2 linked regions of the Notamacropus eugenii genome follow. The protein of the gene in region 1 purifies or fractionates together with the protein of each later gene. This does not show direct contact. Links are inferred from orthologs where the notes say so. Each region holds a gene or a part of one and is shown on either strand. Other genes may lie near its edges. The genes, in order: PHLPP1 and USP1.

Region 1 (10,237 bases):
TGTTTTGGATCCTGATTCTGTCAGACAGTATGTTTGCTATTCCAGCCAGCTTGGTGTTTGTCGGTAAATTTGATAAGCAAATATCTATTCATTTATCAAAGTCATTAATAAATATGCTAAACAATAATCCCTGAAGCACTCTAGTAGAGATTTCCTTCCAAAAAGACTTTGACTACTCTTTGAGACTGGCCATTCAATTAGTTCTAAGTCCATCTAATAGTATTATCTTGGAGGTTATATTTCTTCATTGTTTTTAGCAACTTCCTTGCATCTGCTCTTCCAAAGAACCCATCCTTATAACAAAGAAAACAGTTAAGGTAGAAAACCCCACTGACAAAGCAACTGGGTTTGACAATGTATGCAAAATTTCTTAACTTCAATATTTCTCCTCTAAGAGAGAAAGGATATGTGTCTCATTTTCAGTTTCTGGAGCCAAGACTAGTCATTGCATTAAATTCTGATATTTTTTAGTGTTGTTTTCTTTTACATTATTGTAATTATTGTGCATGAGAGGCAGAGAATACTGGTCTTGGAGTCAGGAAGACCTATGTTCAAATCTGACATACTACCTGGTGACCATGGGCAAATAACATGTCAGTTGTCCTGCAAACTCTTCAAGTACATAAGTTATATATATATATATATATATATATATATATATATATATATATATATATATATATATATATATATATATATATATATATATATATATATACAGAGGAATAGTTGCTCTGCATTGTTGGAGGAATGTCGTTGCTCTGCATTGTTGGAGGAATGTCTTCACTATGAGGGAGTTGCCCACAAAGATTGGAAACGTGAACCTAAACGTTAATGAAACAAACAAAAAAACTGCATACTGTTCTTCTATCTTTGCTTTCTCTGTTTGGCATAAGTTCACACAAGTCTTCCTACATTTCTCTGAATTCAGCTTACTTATAATTTCATACAGTTCATATGTTCCATTATAGTATATTGTTTAGTTATTCCCCAGGGGATGGGTATCATTTTGTCTATATTTTTTTGCTTCTACAAAAAATGTTGTTATATTTTTGTATACATAAATCTTTCTCTCATTGACCTCCTTGAATTATATATTCAGCAGTGGGGATCATTAGGTCAAAGAATATGAATAGTTTAGTAACTTTCTGTTCTTTGCATTTAATTTACTAATACGGTTAACAAACATTTTTTTTTCTTTTTTGTGAATCCCTACCTTGTGAAAGATGCTTTACTTATCCAGAACATGATATGGTACATGTTTAATGTCATTTTAAAGCCTAATTGTTTGTTGCCCTATTTAATTAGTCTTTTCTTTCTAAGAACGCTTCAAATGCCTCTTTTTTTTAAACTGAGCATTCATCTTTTTTCATTATCAGGTTCAGGTTTGCAGGAAATTTCACCATGGATTATATCTTGAATTGCTTTGCTCTTTGGAATATATTATTTCATTCCTTTCTGTGGTTTCTGATGGATGAAAATAGTCTTGGAAATTTGAAGTTTCTTTTCTTTATAATTGAAAGTCTTTTTTCCTGGTGCCTTACAGAATTTTTTGTTTCAGTAGAACTGTTAAATTTAATCACTATATATCTTGAAATCTGCAAGCTAAGGTTTGTTTTCTGAAGTGGCCTGTGGATTACTTTGATTGGCTCTTAGTTTTCTGTGTTCAAAAGTTCTGGACAGTTTCCTTGCCTTATGACCAGGGTTTTTTTGACCAGGGTTCTTCTGAGGTAATCTGTCTGTATGAAACTTTTTGCTTGCATGGGGATCATATTTTCTTTTAATATTATTGCTTTTTTGCTTTTCTCTTCCAGGTTGTCCTTTACTTCTGTGTATTTGCATTCCCAATCAGTAATCCCCCTTTTTGCTCTTTGCTGAGAATTACCACTATGGATTCAAGTTTTTATACTCTGCCATTATTTCTATTTTACAGGCCATAAAATCTGCTTTTAGAATCCTTATTTCTCTTTTAAACAATTCAGGAATAATCTCTTGTAGTTTTGTGTTCTCTTGGGAATTCACAGAGTCTTCTGCCTTACCAAGTATTATATTTTTTCATCATTTTCCTTTTTCTTGCAATATTGATTCATAGATGTGTGGACTGATTTAGCTAGTCCAGAGGCCATATTCTTTCTGTTATTAATAGATTTCCTGTTTATTTACTTGTTCCTTTTTTTCTCCTTGTCTTTTTTTCTGAGATTTTTATGGTTTCCCCTTTCCCCTCTTTTGATCACTTTCTGACTCCTTCCCCTTTGATGGCAGTTTGATGGGGGCTAGAGGTCAGAGCCATTGGAGCTTCCTCTCACGCTAGGCAATTCACATTTCACCAGCCTCAGTTTCTGCCTCATGTGATTTTTAGGAGGACAGAACCAGCCCCATCTGGATGGTAGATCATTTTACTTTGGTTTACTGGAATGCTACATATACGCCCCTCTTTTCCTCAGTGTTCTAGGTTGAGTACAATTGCCACACAGAGTGCTGTGTTGTCACGATTCTGTTCCAGCCAGAGTAAGCTCCTGCCTTTTGATTTTCCATGGTACTGGGAGGAAAAGAGGGAGCAGGTAATGTGTAGTTCTTCTACATGCCCGTGGGTAGGCTTATGCAGATTTGTCAGAGCATAGTGTGTGTGTTCATCCTTTGTTGTGAAGAAGACAAGAAGACCATGCCATCAGAGAAATGATGACAGGACTTGCACTTGAATTTGTTTGTTGAGTGAGGGAGGGCTGTGCAAGGTCACCAGCCTCACTTCTCCTCCAGAGCCATCTGAATCCAGTGACCAGATGTTCATCAGGATGACTGGAGATGACCCAGGATGAGGCAGTTGGGGTTAAGCAACTTGCCCAAGGTCACACAGCTAGTGAGTGTCAGGTATCTGAGGGGAGATTTGAACTCAGACCCTCCTAACTCCTGCACTGGTGCTCTACGCACTGCACTACCTAGCTGAGCACAGTAGGTGATAGGAAAAGGAATGGTGAAGATGAATAGGTTAGAAATTAGAATGAGAATTAGTTCCTTCTGCTATTCATCTGATTTTTCTATCATTAAGGTTCTTGGTATCTTAGACCTTGGAGATAAGTAAAATTGCTTTCTCTCTTGTGCCTAATGCCTATTTTGGGGAAGTTTGCCAGATTGTGAGGATCAGAGAAATGGATAACCTTCTAATTTGTTTAACTATGACTACTAACAATATTCCAGTTTGATCAATGATTAAGTCCATTAGGAAATAAATTGAGATTATCTTGGAAATTTCAAACTGTATTGCTAAATATTGTAATATTAAATACTAGCTCAGCTTCTAGCATTTCAAATGATTTTGTTATTGAAATTTTTATATTTTCTTTCCTTTCATCCTCTACAAAGAACAAAAGCAACTCCTATATACGAGGACAAAAAATATTCCCTTGTTTGCCGACAAACAGTATTATCTAAGCTCACAACAGTGAACAAAGAAAAACTCCACAGGCAATAGGAACCCGGTGAGCAATGAGATCTTTCCTGGAAAGAAATGTTTTGTGTATAAGTATCTTCAGAAGAGAAAAGACAGAGATGATAAAATTAAAAACAAAAACAAACTTCTAACAAGGATGGGTAAAGAGAGGAACTAGAGACAAGAGCGGATATAGTTCAGTAATTTCTTATAGTGGTCTCAAATAAACTGTTGAGTACTCCAGAAGCTAGAAGTGATACAAAGCAGTAGTTTATGATTAAAAATAAAGTTCCAAAGTAGTGGGTTGACCCTTAAACTCTAGAAATCAGAAATATAAGATTAATATGAGAAATTTCTTTCCTTTGTGCAAGGAAGATTGGGAAGTGTGCTGAGTGACTAATGTAAGGAGGAAAGGACAAGACTGAAATTTAACATGGATCATAGAGCCTTTTCTAAAATAATTCCAGTAGATCTGTGATTTCATTGGAAAGGGCATTCCCTCTAGCCATGCAGATTGTAACCCATGCATGTCTGCTTATCCTGTGGGATTCTTTCCTATCTCCTCCATTAAGTTCTGGGAGAGGGTGTTCACCTGGGGTGCTGGAGGCCTTCCTCAATTTCTCTTTACCCCATTGCTAGGATTCTAGAAGAGCATATGGTCTAGGCCTCATCACCTTTATTAAAATTTCCTTGATAACATCCTTGAATTCTCTGAAATTCCTTCCTTTGTTATGTATCGTAGCCTGCTTATATTTTCTCTGTAACTCTCCATTGCTCTCTGTGTGATATTTATTTTTAGTTCTTTGGAGATAGCAGTAGTTCCATGACTTCAGTACTTCTAACCCTTTCATAAGAATCCTTCCTGACCAAGTTTTTTCCGAGTCTCACTCAAAGTCTTCATCTGCAAAAAAAAAAAAAGCTGTTGGTCTAAGCCAGAAGGTTTATTAAAAATTATTGTTATTTGTTGTTTAGTTGCGTCTGACTCTTCAGGACTCCATTCAGGGATTTTTGGGGAAAGATACTGAAGTGGTTCCCCATTTCTTTCTCCAACTTATTTTACAGATGAGCAACTGAGGCAAACTGGGTGAAGTGACTTGCCCAGGGTCACATAACTAGTAAGTGTCTGAGGCCAGATTTTAATTCAGGAAGATGAGTCTTTCTGACTTCAGACCCGGCACTCTACCCATTGTACCCAAATTATTGAGAACCCCTCCCAAAAAAGTTTTTATGTGGTTTTGTCAGTATCTATTGATATTTACCATATTAGAAATGAACATACCCTATCATTATGGAAAGTTTAGGCCTATACTTTGAGAGTTCCTGGTCTGGGTGTACTTCAATATATCCTCTAATGTATCCTCAAAATCCTATTATTCTGGCCCAGAGAAAAGGATTTGATAGTCCACACTCTCCCTTTAAATAGGGTTTCTTGGGCAGGTCATGGGAAAGCAAATCACTGATTGAGAGCTAGCAGGGACCTTCTACATGATCTGCATCATTCTGTCAGCTCCTCCTGTCCTGCGCATGATGGATCGATTGTCTGCATTCCTAGCATCTTGCACAGGGCCTGGGACGGAGAAGGTGCTTAATAAACTCTTTGATTGATTGGCTGTATCTAGCCCCCGCCTTCAATTTCCTGCGGCTCCCTGGTCTCTGTCTTTGTGACCCGATGGTCTCTACTGTCGGGGGTTTTCTTGGCAAGGGTACCGGGGTGGTTTGCCCTTTCCTTCTCCAGCGGATATGACTTGCCCGGGGTCACGCAGCTAGTCGGCGTCTGCATCTGGATTTGAACCCCGGTCTTCCTGACTCCAGGCCCAGTGCTCTGTCTATGGAGCCTCCTTTCCCGGCACAGATAAGGAATCTGAGGGATACTCCCCGGAGGTGACCTGCCCAAGGTCAAGGGTCTTACAGATGCGGTGTTCGGATGCAAACCCGGTTCAGCCTCCAGTGCACAAAGATGCGATTCCCCGCCCAAAGCTGAAGGAGTATGGGGTGGGTAGTAAGTGGGAGGAAGTGAGGGAGGAGAAGGGTGTGAAGGGCCCACACACCCACGGAGGCACTGGATCAAGGTGGAAAGGTACCTGCGGCTAAGTGTCCTTAATGGTCACCAGGCAGCGGGCAGCAACCAGGGGCAGACCCAAAGCACGCCCCTCCCAGCCCCCTGCCCAACAGTAGAGGGCACCGTTCCCATGCCACACAGCCCAGCTCCAGGGCTAGAGAGGGTGGGCTGGTGCGAAAGGTCCGCCGGGAATCGTAGTCTTTCGGCTTCCACTTGCGGGGAGTTTCCTATTCACTCAGAACTCTATTTCCCATGATGCTGCGCGTAGCTTCGTGGTCTCCATTTCCCACCCTCCATCCTCCTCCTCCTTTTCCCACCTGGCGGCCTCCTCCGGAGCTGCGGCGGAGAGAAACCTCCCAGGAAACAGCCCCTGTACGCACGCGTCACGTTTGTTTACCCTGAAGCCCCACCTCCCTCACGGTCTCTTCGGGGCCCTCCCCGTGCCCCGCCCCATCTCGCCGTGGAATGCCGTCACGCCAACGATGCATATTCATGACCCGGCACGGTGCTCCCCTCCCCTCGCTCCCTCCCGCCTTCCACCCGGCCCAGACCCCAGCTTCATTAATATTCAATGAGCCCGTCTCCAGGACTGCTGGTTCGCCCGGGAAGGTGGGGGGAGGGGGCGTGGCTAGAGGCCTGGGCGCCCGAGTCCGGGGCGGGGAGGAGGAGGAGGCGGAGGCGGTGAGGCGGGCGAGCGGGATGGAACCCCGAGACACCGACGGAATGCTCCGAATTGCCACATAATCCCCTGGAACGGCAGCCCCGAACGCCATTGGCTTCTCCTTCCCGGTTCCTCCTCCTCCTCCGCCGCCGCCGCCCTCTCCCACCTTCGCTTCACCTCCTCCCGCTCCCTTCTCCTGGCTCCGGAGCTGGGGGGGGAGACGCACAGCTCCACTGCAATGGAGCCCGCCGCCGCGGCCACGGTGCAGCGACTCCCAGAGACCAGCAGGGAGGACCGGGCTCCGGCTCTGGCGGCGGCGGCGGGGGGCGGCGGCCGGAGCCCAGGCAGCCCCCTGCCCTCGGGGACCCCGACCATGCAGTTCCTCCCGGGCGGTGGGGCCGGGGAGGAGGCCCCCGCCGGGCCGCTGCCGGGCAAAGCCGGGGGCACCGTGCGGAGGAGGAGGAGAGGGGCGCCCCTGCTCGCGGCCAACGGGGCTCCCCCGGCCCCCGGGGCGGGCAGCGGCGCCAACTCCCTGCTCCTCCGGAGGGGGCGGCTGAAGAGGAATCTGTCCGCCGCCGCCACCTCGTCCTCCTCCTCCAATTCCTCGGCCGCCGCCGCCGCCTCCCACTCCTCCAGCGCTGCCAGCCTGGCCGCCTCCGGCTCGGCCTCGGCGTCGCTGTGCACCCGGAGCCTGGACAGGAAGACGCTGCTGCTGAAGCATCGGCAGATGATGCAGCTGCAGCCGTCCGACCGCGACTGGGTGAGGCACCAGCTGCAGCGGGGCTGCGTGCACGTCTTCGACCGCCACATGGCCTCGACTTACCTGCGCCCGGTGCTCTGCACGCTGGACACCACGGCCGGAGAGGTGGCGGCCCGCCTGCTGCAGCTGGGGCACAAAGGCGGCGCCGGCGGCGTGGTCATGAAGGTTGTGGGTCGGGGGCCCTCGCAGCCGCACTGGCTGGGACCTGCCTCGGACGCCCCGACGGCCCGCCGCGGGGGCGTCCCCTCCGGCGCTTGCGAGAGGCAGGTGGCCCGGGGCCCCGAATTGACAGCGCCGGACGAGGAGCCCGGGGAGCGGCCGCCGAGGAAGAACGGGCTGGGGGAGCTCGTCGAGCCCGCCGTCGGGGGGAAGCCGCGCACGCCCCCGGGGGATCTGCCGCTCCGGAGCGACGCGGGGAGATTTGTGGGGTGCCTGACCCACGGCAGCCCGGCGCCTTCGGACTTAAGCCCGGGGGATGTGTACGCAGGGGTCCCGGGCTCCCTGCTGGGTGACCTGCGGCCGGTGGACTGCGTGGTGGGAGGCCCGGCCTCGGACACCGAGAGTTTCAGCCTGAGCCCCAGCGCCGAGAGCGTGTCGGACCGACTGGACCCCTACAGCAGCGGGGGGGGCGGGGGCAGCTCCTCGTCGGAGGAGCTGGAGGCCGATTCCACCCTTGCCCCTGTGCCAGCCCCGACGCCCACGGAGGGGTCGGGCCTCGCCCTTCCCCCGGGCTGCTCGGCTCCGTCTCTGGCGGGCGGGCCGGTGGCGGAGAAGCCCGGCGATTTCCCGCCACTCCATCCTTCTTCACTTGCTGGCCCAGCGCAGTCACCACCGAAAACCCCGAAGGGGGTGGACAGCCGCGGTGGGGTCGCCCAGGACGGGCCTCTGGAGAAGGCGCCCGGAGGAGTTGGTGTCCCCGCTCCGTCGCCGCCTGGGCACGGAGGAGCCGCGGACAAGACCGTCCCGATGCCCACCTTGTACGTGCAGTTTCACGGAGAGACGACCCGTCGGCTGGAGGCACACGAGAAGCCCCTGCAGATTCAAAATGACTACCTCTTCCAGCTGGGATTTAGGGAGCTGTGGAGGGTGCAGGAGGAGGGCATGGATTCGGAGATCGGGTGCCTCATCCGCTTCTATGCAGGTAAGACCAGAACCCTGTTCCTCGAGGTCGTCTACCCCAAGACACCATCCCCTTGGTATTGAGCGGAGAAGAAAGTGTTTTCACCCTTCTCTTGAGTGTGTCAACTTATCCAAGTAAACATAAGACCTCCTACATGTTTCCATCCGTTGCTTCTTCAAAACTGTTTAATCTTAAAATGAAAAATTTCCTAATCTTTAAGATTTTAGTCAAAGTCCTGAGGGTGAGGATGGTGGTGGTGGCTTAATCCCAGAAGTAAAGTGTGTTACCTTGGATAACCGTACTGAGCATATTTAAGGTTGCTCACCCTGGAGACCCTTCCTTCTTAGTTGGACTATGGATATGAGACAGTTTTTGATTTCAAGAGACTCCTCTGTCATGCATGATTTTTATTTTATAGAAAATAATGGCAAAAATGTATGGGAGCTCATTTTTACTCTACTCAACTGTGTTCATAACAACCCTAAGAAACCTGAGTGCCCTTGCTTTGCTCCTGACATTTGATTTTCTTTTCCTGATCACCTTTTGTTGACACATTCTTCAATGTTTTCCCTCACTTTCTTCCTTGTGCTACAATTTCAGGTTTCATCCTGATGTTTAAAATGATTACTCCAGCTGCCTCTTCTTGTTTTGTTACTTCTTGGTGGTTTTAATTCAGAGAAGAACTGACCATTGAAATCCTCCACTGTGACTTAGCATAGATGCTGGTCATTTGTTAGTAGCCAGGTCATATTTGAATCACAAGAAGGTATGAACAGCATGCTTACCTAGTCCTTTTTTCAGGTTTGATCTGAAGCCCCTTCTGTCTTCTGCAGTCCCAGGTTGACTGGGGTTGTCTTTGCAGCTAAGAGCTTGGGGAGATGCCGACTTTTGGAAGGGATGAACACAACATTCTAGTTGACATTTTTGTGGTTTATATGTAAACCATCTACATCCTTACTTTTCTCTAGTCTGAGGGGTTTTTTTTTAATGAGAAGTATGGCATGTCCTAGCTAAAGCATAAGCGATTTCCTACCAACTTTCCAGTATTTTGACAGGAACAGAATAACAAATGTATATGCTTATCCCAAATGTGTGATGTTCTATAAATTCTAGCTCTCCTCTTATTCTTATATTGCTAAATATTAAAATTTGCAAGAATTTTTATGTCCCCAATTGGTTTTTGTTGGTACTGAGTTTTGATCTGTTGGCAAAAAGTTTATTCCTATATATAGAGATAAAATTGGCCAGACTATAGAGATGTTCCTGCATTGAGTTTCATTCAAGTTTTTCTAAAATTATTCATTGCTTCTCTTAGATTAGGAAAATACGGCCAATGTCTTAATTGAATGAAGTTTATTTCAAAAGTGATAAATGTAATGAAGTAAAATGTTCAACTTTTGAAATTCTTTACAGGTTAGAAACTGGGTGATTTTTTTTTCTTCACTCCGGTAGTTCCTTGTCTTTTTCCTGTCTTTAATAGAATTTGTAAAATATTATTACTTTATCAAAGCATTAAACATTACTATTGTAGCAAAAACATGTCTAATGTAACTCTAGAGTGTAGGTCAGTTTCATGATCAAAGTAAATATAATCAGCAAATGTCTCAAAATCAAAAGGGATATTTTGTATTTTTAATTTTGCCAGTGTTCCATTTAGCATCACTGCTTTGTCAAAATATTGCAAAGATTTCACATTACTTTTTCCTCTTTGAAAATATGAAAGCTAATTAATACTGTTAAACACTGATGTCACTACCCTACATCAAAACATGAATTTGGAGCCAGGTTCAGATAAAGAACTTGTCAGATTTTTTTATAAATCTTTTGTTCTATGTTACATTTGTGCTCTTAAGTCAGAATTACTTTGGACCAAGACATTATTAAGTGAATACTCTAGGAGTGCGATACAACACTTGTTACAGATAACAGTTTAATGAGATTGGTCTAAATTGTTGAAAAATAAAAAGATCTTGCCAAAAAGTGATCTCATAGTCAAGGTGACCCTCAACCCCATGTATTTGGGAGACTTACAGTTGTCTAAATAATAGCACATAGTAGGGCAGTCAGGTGTTTTATGTTGCAATCATTCTTTCCTGCAAAGATATAAATAGGCCAATTTCAGTGTTCTGAATAACTTCCTTTGCAAAGAGAATGAGAGAATTCAGCTGCCATTGCTGAAATATTCTCCATAGCTTCATTTTGTACTTCAT
Region 2 (9,714 bases), on another chromosome or scaffold:
TCAGAAACATAATGTTTAATGAATTTTTAAAAATGCATAAGATTACAAAGGAAATCAATTATATGGAAATAGTTATCAAAACAATATATTTTTTAAAAGTTCATGGATGTTGGGTCAAGATGCCCTGAATTGTACTGTTTTTCATTGTCAAATTACTCCTACCATAATGAAAACCTTTTGTCTACAGTAGCATCATTAAGCAATTATTACTTTTCCCAATGTATTAGCTCATTTATTCCTTGTATGACACAGTAATTATTATCCTTATTTCATAACCGAGGAAGCCAATGTTCGGAAAGATTAAAGGTTTTACTTAGGGTCACACAGCTAGTAACTGAGATGGGGGTGAGGGGAGGTGAGGGGAGGGTGAGACTGGCCAGTAAACTCAGTCCTTATATCATTAGCTTTTATTAAGACCATCTTTTCTGTTTAGTAAAGACACTGTCTTTTGCTGCAGAACACCGTCACAATTAAACCACTTTCAAGGCAATTTACAGATGGGTTGTGTTTTGAAGTTTTCGCTATGTTTTGTTCTTATGGAATCATATTTCTGCAGCATAGTAATAGATGGCAGTTTTACAGTGCAAAGTACTATACAAAATATTACACCTTCTAATCTTGAACAACAATATTGAAAAGTGGGTGCCCTTATGCCCTTTTATAGAAGAGGAAAATGAGGCAGATACAGGTTAAATGACTTGCCCAAGGCTACTGAACTAGTAAACTGTCTGAGAGATTTGAGCTCCCATCTTTCTGATTCCAGGTCTAGGACTCCATCCACTGTACCACCCAGCTGCCTAGAGCTGCATATGGAGAAAATTTAGAAATAAACCTTTTCCCAAACTGTCATCCGTTTCATTGCACCTTTTAAATGGTCTTTCACCAAAATTAGAACGTCAATCAGTAAGTAGCTCGATGTCATTTTGGTTACAGCATGGTTCTCCTCTAGACAGGTAAGCCTGTTTGCTTTCATCCAAGGTTTGCAGTTGGTGTTGGCGGTGTTGTTCAGGTAAGCAGGGTTGTCTGTGACTCACTTTTAATTGATAGCCAAACAATTCCTTTTCTCCAGGCATGCCCTGGGCTCTTCCCCTCTGAGCACAATGAAATAAAGTTTCTTCCCTCTCAATTTTTGAAGACTTCACATAGCATGGAGATTACTTATTCCTTAAATATTGTCTACACTGAAACATGCTTTTTGTAATTTATTATTTTTGGGGGGTGTGTTTTCTTTTGCAACATGGCTAATATGGAAATGCATTTTACATGACTTCACATGTATAATCAGTAACATACTGCTTTTCTCTTCAAAGGGTGGGTGAGGGGCAGTAGTGAGGGACAAAATTTGGAACTCAAAATTTAAAAAAATTTTAAACATGTAATAAGGAAATATTTAACAAAGTGAAAAATGTATTTAATAAATAAATGTCTATGATTTACTGGTGTCTTTTCCTATGGAATTTATCATTTATCCAATTTCTCTTTCTGAGACGGAGTTGATTAGGTTAACTAGTTTGTTGATTTTTTTTAAATCAATTCAGGTATTTTAAATTGCTGTAGCTATCCATCCATTTTATTCAAATATTGTTTGTTGCCATAAAACTGTGTGTAAGTTTTTGATCACTACTTCCTCTCTTTCCATTCTGATTTTCCCCTTCTTGTTTTTGATTTTCACTAGCAATTTTATTGATCTTTCAAAAAACTACTTTGTTTTTGTGGAAGCACGAAGTGCTAGTCAAATAAGTGTTTATTAGATACCCTACTATAAACCAGGCACTGTACTAAGCTTTGAGAGTATTTTGAGATACCTCCCTGTCCTCAAGGAACTTATAGTGTAACGGGGGTAGGTGGGTAAAACACATAAAAATGCTGAAAAAGGGGAAAGTGGAGAGAGGTACCCAATGAAAGGGCATGGTAGAGAATTCAGAGAAGTCCCAAAGTAGCACAACAGAAGAGAAATGAGATGTCTGAGCTGGAGTTCTCTCCTTAAATGAAGATTTGGAATGCATAACCCCATTCTTCCATCAGAGAAGTGGAACGTAGCAAAGGGGTGGAGGTCTAAGACTGATGAGATTTTACAGAATGATGACATTATCTCAATAATGAGCTTTCTGGGGCACAGAATCTGTCTGTCAGGGAAGACCCAAAGTAGTGCAGCCAGGTGACTTCTCTTTAGATGCTATTTAAAAAAAAATTTCCCCAATTATCAAGCATTTATTTTTTCTCTTTCCTACCTCCTGTCCTTTTCACCTAACCCCCCCTGGAAAAAAAGAAAAACAAAAGCCCTGTAATAGATATGTATAGCAAAATTCCCATGCTGGCTATTTCTGTGGAGGTAGACGGCATGTGCTCTCCTAAGTCCTTCCTAGTTGACCTAAATCTTCATATTACTCAGAACAGCCCGGTCCTTCCCAGTTACTCTTCAAACAACCTACGCAAGGTTCTCTCGGTTCTGCTCATTCCACCCTGCCTTATTTCATCCAAGCCTTTCCCAGTTCTTCTAAACCACCTTCTTTGTCATTTCTTAGAGCACAGCAGTTCTCCATCACAATCATGAGCCAGAACTCACTCGGCCATCCCTCAACGGACGGCCATCCCTTCCATTTCCAGTTCGTGACCTCCACAAAAAGAGCAGCTCTAAGTACTTTAGAACAGGTAGGCTCTTTTCCTTTTTCCCTGATTATCTTGGGAAACAGACCTAATAGTGGTATTGCTGAGTCCAAGGGTACTCATGTTTTTCTAACTCTTTGAACATGATTTCAGTTGGATCAGTTCACAGTTCCACCAACAGTGTATTAGTATCCCAACTTTCTCACATCCCCTCCAATATTTGTCATTTTCCCTATCATTTTAGCTGTGTGTGGGACCTTTGAATATAGTTTCCTTGCTTATCTAATTAAATCTGTTTTAGCTTTGAGATCATGCTTTTTTTTTTTGACATCCGCTAAAGCATAATAAATTCTACTCTAGCCATTTATTTTTACTCTATGTATATCTTCCGTTTTAAAACGTGTTTTTTAGGAACATTTTGTCAGGTTCTAGTTTTTCAACCTTTCTGCTGCTTCTGTTTTAGGGGTGAGTTCATCTTATTCACACTCAAAATTAGTTACTAGTTGTGTATTTCTTTCCATTCTATTTCCCCCAGTTTAGCCTTTTCTCCCCTTTTTTACCCTATCCCTCCTCACCAGTCTAGTTCACTTCTGACCATGGCCTCCCTAACCCACACACCCTTCCAAGAGTCCCCCCCACCTTGCTTCATTCCCATGCCCTCTTGTTCCTGTGTAAATCAAGACTTTCATACCCAATTAGATGTAGTTATTCCCTCTTTAACCCAGTCCTGATGAGAATAAGGCTCCCACGCTACATACCTTCCACCCCATTCTCCCCTCCATTGTAAAAGTTCTTCTGTTCATGCCTTTTGGGTATAAGATAATTTGTTCCATTTTACCTCTCCCTATCCAATTTGATTTTTTTAGCATCATCCCACCATAATCAACTCAAACCCAAGCTCTCTATGTATCCTTGTTCTAACTAATCTAATAATAACATCCTTAAGAATTACAAATATAATTTTCCCATCTAAGATGGTTAAATGGCTTAACCTTATTAAATCTCTTATCATGAATCTTTCATGTTTGTTTCTCTTGATTCTTGTATTTGAAAGTCAAATTTTTTGTTCGGTTCTGGTCCTTTCCTCAAAAATGCCTATAATATATAATGATATGTAATAATATTATAATACATATGAATGTCTAGACTTTTTTTATCATGACTTTTAGGTAGCCCCAAAATCCTGATATTATTTCCTCTCTATTTGTTTCCAGGTCAGTTATTCTTGTAATGATATTTCACATTCTCTTCCATTTTTTCATTCTTTTGATTTTATTATTTCTTGACGTCTTATGAATTTCATTCGCTTCCTCTTGCCCAGTTCAAATTTTTAAGGAGTTCTCTTCTGAAGTAAGTTTCTGGGTATTTTCCAGTTCACAGCTTTCTTGCATCACTTACTGCTTTCCCCTAATCTCCTCTACTTCTCTTACGGTTGTTAAGGTTCTTCCCAAGCTCTTCCAGAATTCCTTTTCCCACTTGTGACCACTTGGCATTTGTCTTTGAAGCTTCACAAGTGGCTGTGATTTCCTTGTCTCATTTGGGTCGGAACCCCCATCTCCATCACCATACTAACCATTTAGGGGCAGGTTCTTTTTCTGCAGTTTACTCATTTTAAAAGCATCCCCCTTCTTGGCTGTTAACTTTGTCTTCGGTTTCTCGGTTCCCAACGTGTGGGAGAGAGGGCTGAGAAGGGGGTATCCTCCCAGGGATCGCCCCTCTGGGCACAGCCCTTCCCGGGTGGGGCACCGGTGCATGGTTGGGGCAGCTGTGACTCAGGCAAAGAGATTCTGCTGCCAGGGGTTTGCCCCAAGGACATCGCCGATCAAAACACAGCAGCGCTTCGTGGGCTCCCAAAGAGCCCCCAGTGGCTGCCCATCAAGTGGGGAGTGGTGGAGGTGATGGCCCTGAGGAAGTGACCGCCCTGGGGAGGTGACAGTCCTGAGGAGGTGACCGCCCTGGGCAGGTGACCATCCTGCGGGGGTGACCCGTCGCTGGTGTGGAACGTGACCGGACACACACAGAGCCCGCGGTGCATGACCCGGAGCAGCACCGACAGCGGGCACTGCCTGGCAGTCCTCGCCCCTCCCCGTGCCAGCGGCCCGGGCAGGGGTTCTCAGGCGTCCTTTCCTCTGTGGCGGGGCTGCTCCGGGGAGCCTAGCCCAGGTAGACATAAAAGATCGGGATGGCGAAGGGCCCGGGGCACGCCGCGGTCCAAACGCGGCTCTGCCCCACGAGGCGCGCTAGGTAATCAGCACTGGGGGTCCTTCTCCCCCTCCACCCAGCGCAGACCGGGCACAAGGGCGGCCCGAGGCTGGGGGCCGGCGCGGCACGCTCGGCCTAAAGATGACCGCCCATGACAGAAAGAAAGCGCAGCCGGGTCAGGACCGCTAACCTGCGGAAGAAGGGAGAGGCGGAAGTCGGGGCGGAGGTCCCTGCTAGAGGGAGACGGGAAGGGAGAAGCCGGAACTGCCGAGAAGAGCTCCGGATGCCCCGCCCACTTCCGCTCTCGTCCAGGCCAGGCCCCGCCCCCGCTCGGCCACCGTCCTTCGGGGGCGCGCGGATCCGCCGCCGTTTTATTTAAAATCTGGTTTCCCCGGTAACGGAGGGGAGCTAGGAATGGGACGCCAGGGCCAACGTTCCCTCTCTCCCTCCCCTCCCCTGGTCCAAGCCTCATCGCTCAGAGCGAGGCAATCCTAGCTCGCGCCCACCGGGAGCCACCGCCCCCGGAACCCACTCCCAGCGCAAAGCGCGGAGCGAGAACGCGAGGGAGAGGGGCGCGCGGCGTCTTTGGGATGTTTCCCCGCCGTGATTGGTGCAGGCCGTGCCGCACCGCCCTCGCTCCCGCCCACCACCTCTCCGATTGGCTGCCCGGGAACGCGCCGGAACTCGAGTTCCGTCGCGGATTGGCCGGTTCGAGTAATTGGCGGCAGCCCTCCTCCGTCGGGGAGCTCCTGCCCCGCCTCCCCGCGCTCTGGGCCGTCTCCCGACCCGTACGTTTCGCTTTCGTCCCGCGCGCTCAGGGCTGGTGGGGGCGGGGAGAGCGAGCGCCCGCGAGAGCTTCGGCGGCTCGATCCCGGCGGCCAGGCCTCGGCCGGCACGCGCGCGCCCAGCGAGGACCCCGCGAGCTGCCCGCGCCGCCGCCTGCGCCCTTCGAAACCGCACAGCCGCCCGTTAGGTGCCCGGGGGCAGCCGCCGTTCGAGCCGGCCCCGGAGCCTGGGCGCGTCGCGGGGACTAGCGGCGGCGGCAGCGCTGGGCTCGGCCTGCCGGGCCCGAGGCCGCGGAGCCCGCCCCGGCGTTTCCGAGCGGCGCCTGGCAGGGTCGCGGCGCCCGGCGCGGGGGTCCTGGCGCCGCGGAAAACGCGCCAAGCCTGCGCCGGCGGCGGCCGCGTCCGGACCCCGCCGAGCCTCCCGAGCCCCGGAGCGCCCCCTCCGCCCCGCCCGGGGCCCCGGACCGCCGCCCGGCCCCGCCCCGGGGATGGAGCCGCGCCGGCGGCCGCTGCCATGAGCCAGTAAGCGCGCGGGCCCCGCGGGGAAACTGAGGCTGGCGGCCCGCCCTGCCCCGCGGAGGAGGGCGCGGGTGGAGACGGGCGGCCCTCCCCCCAGCCCCGTACGCCCGGGGGTAGGCCGGGGGTCCGGGGGAGGGTCGGGGGGGGGCTCCGGGCAGGTGGGGGCGTTGCCGGGGAGCGCTCGCGCCCACGCCCCGCCCCCAGCGGGGGGGGGGGTCCCGCGCGCGGGGTCGTGACCTGTGCGCGCCCGGCAGGTGCCGCGGGTGACGGGGAGAGATGCCCGGGGTGGTGCCGAGCGAGAGCCAGGGCCCGGCGGCCCGGGGGAGCCCCAAGAAGAGCCGCCTGTCCCTCAAGTTCTTCCAGAGGAAGGAGACGAAGCGCGCCCTGGACTTCGCGGACGCGCAGGACGAGGAGGAGCGGGACGGGGACGGCGCGGGCCCGGACGTGTGCGTGTGCGCGTGCGCGTGCACGCGGGGGGACCCCGGGAGGGACGGGAGACCCCCGGGAGGGGCACCGACTCTGGGGGAGGGACGGGGGGATCCCCGGGGAGGGGGAGGGGCACGGACCCCCGGGGCTCATCCGCGCGCTCCGCCCTCCCCAGGGACCAGGTGGTGCCCGCGGCCGCCGCCCAGCCCTCGCCCCTCGGCTGCGAGAAGCGGGAGAATCTGCTGCCCTTCGTGGGGCTCAACAACCTGGGCAACACCTGCTACCTGAACAGCGTCCTGCAGGTGAGGGGGCGGGGCCTCCGGGTGAGGGGCGGGGCGTGGGCGGGGCGTCCAGCGAGGGGCGGGGCCCGCGCCTGACGCCGCCCTCTCCGCAGGTGCTGTACTTCTGTCCTGGGTTTAAAACTGGAGTCAAACACCTGTTCAACGTCATTACGAGGAAGAGGGAGAGCCTGAAGGAGGAGGCCGATGCCAAGGCGGACAAGGTGAGGGGCCGGTGCGGCCGCCGGGACCTGGGCTGGGTCACCCCGGAGCCTTCCCCGGGAGTGCCGGGTTCTCTGCCGAAGCCTGGCTTCCTTTGGGGGTCTGCGGTTCTGTCTGAAGCGGTGCTGAGCCCCTGCGGTGCGGGCCCCCTGCGGAGACAGCAGGACCGGCTTGTTACCTGGAGTCCCTCTCTTACGGGGGAAGACAAGCCAGAGGCTGTGTGCCCTCGGGGGTGCATCGTCTGGCACCGCAGGAAAGCCTGGAATGACCAGCTTTGAGGTGGAGTCCTTCCTAATGTCCCGGACAGGGCTCATCTTGCCTCCACGATTAAATCTTAGGGGAGGTTAGGGCAAGGCCTGCTTCCTTCTCACACCTGTCACACTTGTCACAAACAAGCAGCTTCACTGATCTCTGTGTCTGGCTCTCAAAATAGAATTGCCAATTTAGACTGGCATAGGTTGTTCATTGTTGAGGTTAACCATAGAATTTAAGATCCAAGTGCCTTGGGCATTGTGTCCAGGGAAAGGGTGAGACATCCAACTTGATGGGCAATTTCTGAGACTCTCCGTTAACAGGCGTAGAAGTGATGTGTAAAATTGGGCAGTTTAATCTGTATTCAAACGAAATGCTGATGTTCCAGCTAATAAGGAAACATTTGAGTTGGTTTGGGAATAAGGAAGTGCAGGTTATTTAGAGGGTAGGCTTGTGTGGTCTTCCTGGCTCTGGCACCTGCCATGTGGACAATTTGAGTGAGCATCAAGACAGGAGCCTGCTAAAGCTTTCTGTCGGAAGCAAAAAGTTGTTTAGCCATATAGAAAAGCTTCAAGTTGTCTTTGAAGTAAAAGGTAAAATGAATTCCCTTTACTCAAGCTAAATTTTTATTTTGGCATGTGCAGGTAGCAAGAGATTGCTTCTGGAAACTACTCTTAGATGTTATTTTTTATAGTATGTAGAAAGGAATGAAGAAAAGGGGAAAATCCTTGTATTCATAGATATCAGATTGGTTTATTTACGTTTCTTTCTTGCAGGGAAATTGCAAAGAAGACAGCCTGGCAAGCTACGAATTAATATGCAGCTTACAGTCTTTAATAATTTCAGTGGAACAACTTCAGGCCAATTTTCTTTTGAACCCAGAGAAATACACTGATGAACTTGCTACTCAGCCACGGCGGCTGCTTAACACTCTGAGGTAAAGCCTAGAGTGAAATTTAAATGTTTTCTCCAAACTGGTGAGCACAGTGCAGCAGAACATTGATGTCAGAGCTGCGGTGTGTATGTTGTACGTGTTATATAAGTTCAGCCTTTTAAACATTGTCTGTGCAAACCCCACCCACTGCCACAGCAAGAAGCAGTTTAAATTGAGTCTAGGACTCTCTGGGGAGCTAGGTGGTGCGGTGGATAGAGTGCTGGGCCTGGGGTCAGGAAGACTTGTCTTTTCTGAGTTCAGATATGGCCTAAGATACTTACTATCTGTGTAACTCTGGGCAAGTCATTTTACACAGTTCGCCTCAGTTTCCTCATCTGTGAAGGAGTTGGAGAATGAAATGCAAACCACTCCATTGTCTCTGCCAAGGTTAAAAACCCCCCAAATCACAGAAATTTATACATGACTAAAATGACCAAATAACAGTTAATTGCTAGGTTCTTTTTGTTTATTGAATCATTTTTTGAAATTTTGAAAAGCATCAACTTTGGCTGCATGCTTCCTGAACAGGCGAAGGAGAAAAACTGGAGGTTCGGTGCATTTGTATACTGATTAAAAGAGAAAGGCCCTTATTGTTAAATTCTAATCTATTTCCTAGTGAGCGGTTCTTGGTCTTGACTCACCTGCTTTTTTGCTGGTTTGTTTGGTATTTGGGTATTTTGGTTGTGTTTTCTGGGGCAAGGGGAGAGATGTTGATTTTGGTCATTAAAAGGAGATGCACTATGTGGGAAGGAGGGGGGGTCTTATTTAAGAATATTGTCAATGTCACTGGCTAATGGCGCTATTTTAAATGGAAAGAATGAAGTTGCGTGTTAGAGAACAGTGGCAGTCATTTGAGTGACAGCTTGTTCTTTGCAGGGAGCTGAACCCCATGTATGAAGGCTACCTGCAACATGATGCTCAGGAGGTACTGCAGTGCATCTTGGGAAACATTCAGGAGACATGCCAGCTCCTGAAGAAGGAAGAGCTGAGAAGCGCGCCAGCAGAAGCATCACCTCCCCCTCCTCCTCCCAAAGAAGGTAGTGAAACAAACACCATTGAGGATGACGGAGAAGGGAAAGACAGGTTCCTGAAGGGAAATGGGAAAAGGAAAAGTGACAGCGAAGTGGGAAACCCCAAGAAGAAGTCTAAGCTGTCCAAGGAGCCCACGGCAGCCGAAGAAAACCAGAGGCAGACGCGGTCCAAGAGAAAAGCTGCTGGGGACGCTCGCTTGGAAAGTTCTCCTGAAACGATGCCTAAAAGTGCTGCTGATGGAGATAGTGCCCGGCCGAACCACAAGAAATCAAGGCTCAAAGTAAACTGGCTGAAGCCTGCTACCAAACAGCCCAGCATCCTTTCCAAGTTCTGCAGTCTGGGGAAAATCACCACACATTCAGGACCCAAAGGGCCTTTGAAAGAAACTGATGGCAGTTGTGAGGAGGACTTGAAAAGGGAAACCAAGGGCACCTTGAAAGATGACTCTGGGGAGCCT

Evidence for each region.
Region 2: the proteins of PHLPP1 (region 1) and USP1 purify together in Homo sapiens (affinity purification with mass spectrometry; 6 studies listed by BioGRID and IntAct, counting the BioPlex papers as one, with this or other methods). This does not show direct contact. The link is inferred for Notamacropus eugenii from reciprocal best matches to the Homo sapiens genes PHLPP1 and USP1.

The regions. Positions count from the first base shown.
Region 1 is NC_092875.1:394,972,623-394,982,859, forward strand, and holds the start of PHLPP1 (PH domain leucine-rich repeat-containing protein phosphatase 1), read left to right. Parts: upstream 1-6,145; 5' UTR 6,146-6,385; coding exon 6,386-8,048; intron 8,049-10,237. UniProt on the Homo sapiens protein: Protein phosphatase involved in regulation of Akt and PKC signaling.
Region 2 is NC_092873.1:523,062,055-523,071,768, forward strand, and holds the start of USP1 (ubiquitin carboxyl-terminal hydrolase 1), read left to right. Parts: upstream 1-5,991; 5' UTR 5,992-6,116; intron 6,117-6,367; 5' UTR 6,368-6,389; coding exon 6,390-6,559; intron 6,560-6,714; coding exon 6,715-6,841; intron 6,842-6,933; coding exon 6,934-7,041; intron 7,042-8,067; coding exon 8,068-8,228; intron 8,229-9,101; coding exon 9,102-9,714. UniProt on the Homo sapiens protein: Negative regulator of DNA damage repair which specifically deubiquitinates monoubiquitinated FANCD2. Also involved in PCNA-mediated translesion synthesis (TLS) by deubiquitinating monoubiquitinated PCNA.